Yarrowia lipolytica: one gene and its partner. The protein of the gene in region 2 purifies or fractionates together with the protein of the main gene of each other region. This does not show direct contact. Links are inferred from orthologs where the notes say so. Each region holds a gene or a part of one and is shown on either strand. Other genes may lie near its edges.

Evidence for each region.
Region 1: the proteins of YALI1_D25744g (region 2) and YALI1_D07271g purify together in Saccharomyces cerevisiae (affinity purification with mass spectrometry; 3 studies listed by BioGRID). This does not show direct contact. The link is inferred for Yarrowia lipolytica from reciprocal best matches to the Saccharomyces cerevisiae genes CCT6 and VID27.

Annotation. Positions count from the first base shown.
Region 1 is NC_090773.1:725,235-730,098, forward strand, and holds YALI1_D07271g (uncharacterized protein), read left to right. Parts: upstream 1-1,904; coding exon 1,905-4,325; downstream 4,326-4,864. Other genes in the region: YALI1_D07252g (uncharacterized protein), read right to left, coding at 77-189; YALI1_D07257g (uncharacterized protein), read right to left, coding at 242-538, 584-658; YALI1_D07299g (uncharacterized protein), read right to left, coding at 4,589-4,713. UniProt on the Saccharomyces cerevisiae protein: Has a role in the negative regulation of gluconeogenesis. Required for vacuolar catabolite degradation of fructose-1,6-bisphosphatase (FBPase).
Region 2 is NC_090773.1:2,572,441-2,576,860, forward strand, and holds YALI1_D25744g (uncharacterized protein), read left to right. Parts: upstream 1-1,957; coding exon 1,958-2,091; intron 2,092-2,460; coding exon 2,461-3,898; downstream 3,899-4,420. Other genes in the region: YALI1_D25786g (uncharacterized protein), read right to left, coding at 4,276-4,420. UniProt on the Saccharomyces cerevisiae protein: Molecular chaperone; assists the folding of proteins upon ATP hydrolysis. Known to play a role, in vitro, in the folding of actin and tubulin. In yeast may play a role in mitotic spindle formation.

The DNA of each region.
Region 1 (4,864 bases), about 1.8 Mb from region 2:
CTACGGAGTTAGTGCTTTAGATCGGATGGCTATCTGAAGAGGGTGATATTACGATAGGAAAGATGGAGCAGATTACCCACGTCCACACGTTTCAACGCACCCCAAAGTACATACTCTCGAACTGGTTGCTCGGTCGAGACGGAGTGCCATGTGCACACATACTGAGACCCATAGACAGCATAGAGGCATAGAGAGATGTGGGCGTACAGCCGTAGAAACATCTGTCCATCATTCACCGGTGCTATTCCAGTCTTCTTGGACTTGCCATGTTCAGTACAAGTACATCTTCCACATCAGGACATGTCAATGGAAGATGAAAGAAAACCACATAGATCAGAAGAAGAAGAGTCAATGTAGCCAGAGAGTCAATCAATGCATTCATGAACCCGTTTCTGATCATATGCTCATCTTTCAATTCAAATTCCAACCGTTTATCCAAATATAAATACCACCTCGACCCCCTCAACAGGTAGACATAACCAACACCACCAGCACCACCACCAGCACCACCACCAGCACCACTACTACAATGATCAAACTGACGCTGACTGAGGAGCAGTTCGTCCGTCTATTAAGACCCGACAGGATCCCGATTAATCCACACGCGTGCTGTGTTCAATAAGAGCGATCTTACACACATGTTTCTCAGTGGACTCATAAGTGAATGAATACTATTACTACTGTACTCGTACTAGTACCCATAGCCAGTTGTTGAACCTGTAAGTGTTAATAACAATCAATGGTCGAACACACGGTCAAATAACCAAGACAGGTACAGTACCGGCTCTGCAGATCTGAGGTGTTGCACGCTACCAGCGTAAAAGTACATACTGGTACAATGTTCCACCCACTCACATACGCCAAGGAGACCTTGACAGTACTTTATGACCCTCCTAAACGCTCCCCCGTCTTTTAAGCCCAGTTGCGGCTATATCCTGGTGAAAATACGGCTCCCGGTGATCAGCCATAGTCAAGCACCAGAGAGAGCCTAGTTAGTATTGTAGCGTGAGACCAAACGAGAATCCTGGATGCTGCAATTGTTTCTCCAGTTGCAAAGAACGGTCGGTGTATGTTTGAATAGTACATCTTCTTTTTTATTGCTGTGGACCATGTTGAAACGGGTGATGCACGACGAGTACAAGTACAACTACAAGTATGGCAGGATGTGTACATACAATAGGGGTAGAGCGTAGAGAACAGGACCAACGAAATCACAAGTGTGCTGCAAATCCGGGGAAATTGATACTCAATCTGAATCAGATCAAGATTTAGAATTCATTGATATAATTATTCACACCCCTATTCTCAGTAAAATTGTCCAATATGGAGCCATTACTACGGGCGTCCCTTCACAGGCTCTTTGCTCCACCTACCACAACAAGAACACCACTTTTTCCAATGAACAGAAAAGTTGAGGGCAAATGGAGATCTGGAGAGCATTCATCGTCCGTTATATAATCTGAATCCGTCTTTATTTTCACCCCTCTCATACAATATTTCGACTTGTATGTACAATGTCTTACAGTCGAGTGATCCCCTATATCAAATAATTTCCAGCACTGTACGATATCCACTGTACGATATCCACTGTACGCAGACAGAAACGTGATTCGAAGCAGACTCAAGCCATCATGTTCATCCATCGATTTTACCATTTCCCAGAAATTTTCGCAATTTTCCGCAATTTTCCGCAATTTTCCGCAATTTTCCCAGATTTTACGCTTTTCCAGCATTTTCCCCCATTTTTTTATTCACCTCACCAAAACCCTATCGTTATCGACCCGTGACCTCATTTAAGGTTTAGGTCGTCTGTTGGGCCCCGTTGCCACGGTTACCGCGCCCCAAACAGAAGGTTATCCCTCCACTCTTCACGCCACTCCACTCCATTACGAGTTCATTCGAACATGAATTTTCTGCGCAACATTCTGGGCTCTGGGTCCAAGCAGGAGCTTGCGGTGATCCCGTCAGGCCAGCTGTTTCTCAAACGGTCGCCGCACTCGGTCAAGGGCGTTTCCGAGTGCATCTACAAGGAGGCAGCCGCCATCATCCGAAAGACCGAGGTGGAGTTCCAGAGCCAGCTCATTGTCCAGAGAGTCTACGAGGAGGGCGAGGAGGCATTCGAGGGCACCGAAGAAGAGGACCAGCTTGACGACGAAGAATGGTGCTATCTGATTGACGAGGCCCTTCGAATCAGCTACTTCATGCAGGACGGCCATGTGGTTGTGACATGGAACGATCTCAATGGCGACCCCGGAGACCGGTTCGAATTCATCTGCGACACCAGCATCAAACCCGAGGTGTATGACAAGTTCTCCAAGGTGGCCCAGGAGTGCATGTACGAGCGAAAGTACACTGCAAGTGCAAAGGGAGTCAGCGAAGACGATCTCAACGAGTTTGACTACCCTCCTCCGGTAACAGAGGTCGAGGCCAATGAGTCTACCGCCGTGGACGAGTCCGTGGCTGCTGACTTTAACGAGGTGGACAAACGCGTGGCACACGACACGGAAGGCATCTTCGTTAAGGAGGAAGAGGAGGGGAAGAAGGAGAACAAGGCCCACGCTAGCGTGCCTACAGCTGCTCCCGAGACTGTGGCTGCCGCGGTGGCTGCGCCTGCCTCCGCTCCTGTTGTGCAGGACTTGCCCCAGTTCGACGCTCTCCTGGGAGAGAACAATGCTGAGCTGCATCTGTTTGATGCCGGGACCGGTGCGTTTGAACTGCAGGCAGCCTCCACCACCGTGCGAATTGAGGAGGTGGCCAAGCAGTGGGAGTATTGGCTGACTGTGACGAACGGAACCAAACCCGTACTGGGCATGCCCATCACCTCGGAGATGAACCCCTGCTTCAACTACGAGCATCTGTCGTTCATCTTCAACTACTTTGCACCTACCGGAGCGGGTTTCTCGTGGCTGCTCAAGTTTGGCTCGTTCGAGGAGCTCGAGATCTTCCAGCAGGTGTTCATGCAGGCTCTGTGGCAGAGACTGCATCGTCAAAAGTACACAACCGCTCCCGAGACAGAAAAGGACTACCTTTCCGAAGCCTTTGGAGCTATGGATATTGACGACGAAGGCACCACCGGTCTGGAGGATCTTCCTGAGGAGGACGAGGATGAAGATGAGTTTGAGGACTGCCCCCAGGGCCCCGCACGAGACTTCTCTGATGACGAGGAGTACGACAACGACGAGGTGTTTGGAAAGAACGACGATCTCGACAAGAACAAGCTGCTTGCCGTCGGAACTTCCAACGACCGGTCGTATGTTGTACGAGGAAACCGAATTGGAGTGTTCAAAAATACTGCCGACAACGAGCTCGAGTTTGCCACCACTATTGAGAACATTTCCAAGCCCGACAAGACGTCGTTCAACCCCGACAAGATGATGCTGCATTACCAGGACAAGCACATTGTGCTGCAGGACAAGTCTGAGGGCAACAACCTGTACAAGATGGATCTTGAGTACGGTAAGGTGGTGGACGAGTGGAAGGTGAGTGATGACTCCAAGAACGGCGTTGTCAGCTTTGCTCCCTCGGCCAAGTTTGCGCAGATGACTGGCGAGCAGACCTTCCTGGGAATGGCCAACTCGGGTCTGTTCCGAATCGATCCCCGTCTCAGTGGATCCAAGCTGGTTGATAGTGAGCACAAGAAGTATGCCACCAACAACCAGTTTTCGGCTCTGACTTCCACCGAGGGTGGCCACATTGCTGTGGCCTCGCAGAAGGGAGAAATCCGACTGTTTGACCGACTTGGAATCAATGCCAAGACCGCTCTCCCCGCCCTTGGAGATCCCATTCTGGGCGTCGATGTGTCTGCTGACGGCCGATGGATTCTGGCCACCTGCAAGACTTATATTCTTCTGATCGACGCTACAATCAAGGATGGCAAATACGAGGGCGAGACCGGATTCAAGCGGTCGTTTGCCAAGGACGCCAAACCCCGTCCCAAGCGTCTCCAGATTTCCCCCGAGCATGTGGCCTTCATGCTTGCCGAGACTGGTTCTGGCTTGAACTTCACCAAGGCGCATTTCAACCAGGGCCCCAATTCTCGAGAGCAGACGGTTGTGACGTCTTCTGGCCCATACGTGGTTACTTGGTCGCTTAAGAAGCTGCTGCGAGGAGACGCCAACCCCTACCTCATCAAGCGGTACTCTGACCAGGTTACTGCTGGAGACTTCCGATTCGGCACTGACAAGAACGTCATTGTTGCCACCGAGGACGATGTCAACATGGTGTCCAAGAAGTCGTTCCGTAAGCCCACGCGGGAGTCTCTGGCGACTCCTGGCATGCGACGGGGCACTCTGGGACGAAGTAGCATTGTTAACGAGTTGTACTAGGTGGACATTAGGAGCGAGTTGATGGACCGGAGAGATAGCTGTGCATTTGAAAAACGAAAAAACACAAGCAAAAAGAAAGAAAAAAAATACAACTGGAAAAGTTGGTTTATATAGTTAATAGATACCTAATGATACTACAGCATTTGCAATTCTGAACCAAAAGATGGGAATGCTCGAGTCTTGTTTGTGAATCGGTGTATCCTTGATTCATTCCAGTCGCGTGTGGAATTGTCAGGTTCAATAATAATATAATATATACACGGCTACTTCTTCTTGCCAAACTTGGCCTCGTTCTTGAGCTCCTCCAGGAATATGGACAGGAAGCTCTTTTTGTGGGTTAGTTTTTCAAAGGCCTTTTCGCCTTCTCGGAGGAGGGGATCATGGGAGACTATGTTAGTAATTTGGCGGGGGGCGGGGCAGGTCAGTCATTGACTGGATGAGCCGTAGCAGTGGGCGGGAGACATAACAGCGAGGAGCGAGAGGCTTTAGAGATGACAGCAAGACTAGTCAGTGACTGTAGTTGTGTCTTTCCTTTGACT
Region 2 (4,420 bases):
GGACCCCTTGAATTGTCTTAGGACCGTTTGTTTTCCTTGTGAAAGCAAACATTGACGTTACGTCCGCGCTCCTAGCGCCGTGCAAACTCTCTTGCACATTCTATTTATTGTTCTGCAGTTTATTTATTGATATTGTATCAAATTGGAGTCGTAGCTGTGTTAGTCCAGCACATATTTTTTTTAGCAGTACAAACTTTTAGCAGTACATTTTTTAGCAGTACAAATTTTTCAGCCCAAGCTTTAGTATCCACTCGCTTACGCTTGGTATCGTCGACTTGTGCATCGCCGTGCATATTTGATGCATCTCAGCTGCATGGTGGTGTGAGACATCCGATGCTGTCTGAGGTGTATTGTAACCATGAAATGAAATATATGGAGGCATTGCCAAAGACCGAGCAATGGCAAATTGATAGAACCGGAGATACCTGCCAGGAGAGGGCGTCTAAAATGGACCGATTTATGCCTCTAATGAAGATAATAGCCGCTAGCCCCTTCAAATGAAACTAACGAGGAATGCGCACGTGCGTAAGCAGGTTACAAACGGTTAGACGGATAGATACAGGTACAGTACCGGTATGGGTAGCGGAATTTCTAATGTCGTTGGTCACGTGAAATTGGAGCTACTTGTACCCGGCATAATGATCAATTGGTCTTCGTAGCCGAACTCGTCTGAATAATAAATGGCAGCTATCAAGACGAGGCTAAATATGAGACATCATCGGTGGAGACGTGGGGTGGTAAGATTATTAGCTGGCCGTCTATTGGAGGAAACAGCTGATGCCATCGTGTTTCACTAATCGGTTCAGAGCTCTTCTTTCGTCACTATTAATGTACCAATGGACGTACCAACGTGTGCGTATCTGCATGTAGGAGTTCCTACCAGCATGTATAAGTCGGCCAAAGAGATCAGAGGAGAACCTTGGAGCTTGAGTTGTATGTATATACTGCGCTAGGCACTGGTCATAACCTGTGTATTGCTGCGATCAAAAAGGCATGATGTCGTTCTGTAGATGATGACTGTCAGCGATGACTGTCAGCCTTGGCTCTAAACACGTCGAAGATGTCCGGAAACCGTCAAATCAGCTCGTGACACCTGCCATCAGCACCAACGACGTGTAGATGGATGTCCGTTGCCAATTGGCAATAGATTGTGCTATTGCCGTGCTATGGCTCATAACCTCTAGGTCTCAGAACTGGCGATATCCATGTCCTCTTCCTAACCTGATTATATCAACTAAATATTGTGTGGGAACTGCCTCAGCAAATTTGACATTTTTTGACCTCATGTGTGATCAGAGTCTAATTAAAAAAAAACCATCACAGGCAGTGAAGTTCTGGTCAAGGACATGGTCTGCTATATATACTGCAGAAATTTTTTTTCCTGCAGCGGTGGACTCATAATTACGCCAGGTGGGATTTTTTTCAGCATGCATATGTTAATATTATGTAATACGAGAACACAGGAGTGCACAGGTACTGAAATGAAAAACACGGGAGGTGCCAATATTTCAATCACGTGACTAAAACTATCTGCCCGTTTCGTTTAATCTCTATGTACAATTTCTCGTACTCGTACTCGTGCTCGTACAGTCGGTGAGCTGCTCTCAATACACGTGTTGCTGAGTTGCTAAGGCGTCCAACTAACCCTGACTAAGTGAGGCGTTGTCCGGACAACGGAGAATAGAGGGTCTAATGGGCATAAAACGAGTGAATGTATATCGTCCCTGGAAATATCCATCAGTCAAGCAACCCTTTTGTTTATTTATATATTTCGTCTTCTAAAAGATTCTACGTTATTCTCTACGCCACCGGTAATCGAACACGCGTCCCCCAAAGTAGTGCCTGAGTGCAGATAGAGTGTGTGCGAACCTCGTCTGTGAAAATTAAAGACGTCACCAAATCCTATCTGCACGGGGCTTTTCTGTTTTCCACACTTTTCGAATCACACATACACAACATGTCTGTGCAACTACTGAACCCCAAGGCCGAGTCCCTGCGACGGCAGCAGGCGCTTCAGGTCAACATTGCCGCCGCAGAGGGTCTTCAGAGCGTTCTTTGCAGCAATCTGGGTCCCAAGGGCACCATCAAAATGTGAGTATGGTGGCGATCAGTTGGTGTTAGACAAACATCAAGAAGGAGTTCAAGACGTCCTAAGGGTAATGATGAGCATCTGTCCGTGTTATGTTGTACACGACGATGGTGCTGTTGATTATTGTGTTGCAATTGCACCTGTTTATGTAATTGGAACATGATGGAAGCCAGGATGTTATAACCACGACACAGGATTCATTTTGACGTGGTCACGACTTGATTGAGGACGTACCACGACAGGAGTTATCAAATGAACACAGATATGCCATATCACTGTTTCAAGACACGTCACAGTCTTATCACCAGAGTCATATCACCAAAGTCATATCACCAAAAGCACATCACGAGAGTCATACAATACTAACCCAGGCTTGTTGATGGAGCAGGAGGAATCAAGCTCACCAAGGACGGAAAGGTGCTTCTGTCCGAGATGCAGATCCAGAACCCCACCGCCGTACTGATTGCCCGAGCCGCCACTGCACAGGACGACATTACCGGTGACGGTACGACATCGGTTGTCCTTTACGTTGGAGAGATGCTTCGACAGGCCGAGCGGTTCGTCACTGAGATGCATCCCCGAGTCATTGCTGAGGGCTTTGAGATTGCTCGAAAGGAGGCCCTTTCCTTCCTCGACACCTTCAAGATCAACAAGGCCGGCAGCGTCGACCGAGAGCTGCTTCTGGCGGTCGCTCGATCTTCCCTCGCCACCAAAGTGAACCCCACTCTGGTGGCGCGTCTGGCTCCCGTCGTCACCGATGCCGTTCTGGCAGTTGGAGACGATCTGCACATGGTTGAGATCATGAAGCAGCAGCGACCCGACGACACTCGGCTGATCCGAGGTCTGGTTCTGGATCATGGTCCCCGACACCCCGACATGCCCAAGAGAGTCGAGAACGCGTTTGTGCTCACTCTCAACGTGTCTCTAGAGTACGAGAAGTCCGAGGTCAACGCCGGCTTCTTCTACTCCACTGCTGAGGAGCGAGAGAAGCTGGTACAGTCCGAGCGACAGTTTGTGGACGACAAGGTCAAGAAGATTGTCGAACTCAAGCGGGAAGTGTGTGCCAACGGCGAGGGCTTTGTTATTGTCAACCAGAAGGGTATTGATCCTCTGTCTCTGGACATTCTGGCCAAGAACGGCATTTTTGCCCTGAGACGAGCAAAGCGACGAAACATGGAGCGTCTGCAGCTCGTGTGTGGAGGAGAGGCCCAGAACTCGGTTGAGGATCTGCGTCCCGATATTCTGGGATGGGCCGGTCTGGTCTACGAGGAGACCATTGGCGAGGAGAAGTACACCTACATTGAGGAGGTCAAGGACCCCCGGTCGGTGACCATTCTGATCCGAGCCCCCAACTCTCACAGCATTGCCCAGACCTCCGATGCGGTGCGAGACGGTCTCCGAGCTGTGGCCAACTGCCGAACCGACCAGGCTGTTGTTCCTGGTGCCGGCGCATTCCAGCTCGCTCTGCACCAGCATCTCATCAAGTTCGCGCGAAGCACCAAGGGTAAGGCCAAGTACGGAATCACAGCCTTTGCCGAGGCCATGCTGATTATCCCCAAGACTCTGGCTTCTAACGCCGGTTACGACGCTCTTGACATGATTACCGAGTGCCAGGACGAGATTGCCGAGGGCCATCTTGTGGGTTTGGATCTGACCACCGGCGAGCCCATGGACCCCACGGTTGAGGGTGTCTACGACTCGTTCCGGGTGATCCGAAACAGCATTGCCAGTGCCACTGGTATTGCCACCAACCTGCTGCTGTGCGACGAGCTGCTCAAGGCTGGTCGATCTTCGTTGAAGCAGCAGTAAGGGGAGGTGTAGAGCATAAAATGAGGCCATAAGCGGTATGGGTTGGATACGAATGAATGTAATTGAATATAGACATGACAAGAGGAGGGAAGTTGAAGAAGTAGTCCCTGCCTAACGTGTGCAGTACAAGTACGAGATAGCCACCGTCTATATTATTATTTTCTGCATAATACATTCATTAATTATAAGTTGATTGTAGTGTAGTAATAGTTGAGTAAGGGTTAAGGCTACTTACTGAATTGTTGGTGGGCACAGTTCAGATGTACGAATGATTCTACAATCATTACTCCTCATTCTCGAGGTACAAATAGTTGATAAGTATTGTACAGTCGCTGGAGTACAGTCATTAAGTGTCAGTCATTAAGTGTTGGTTTTGTTCAGGCCTTCTGGACCATCTCCTCGACTTGCTTCTTCTCGTCGTAGGAGGGCGGCTTCTCGATTGAGTCTGTCTCCACGACCAGTCCGTTATCGTCGGTGGACTCGTCGGCCTTGACATGCTCGGACTCCTCCTTGATTCGCTGG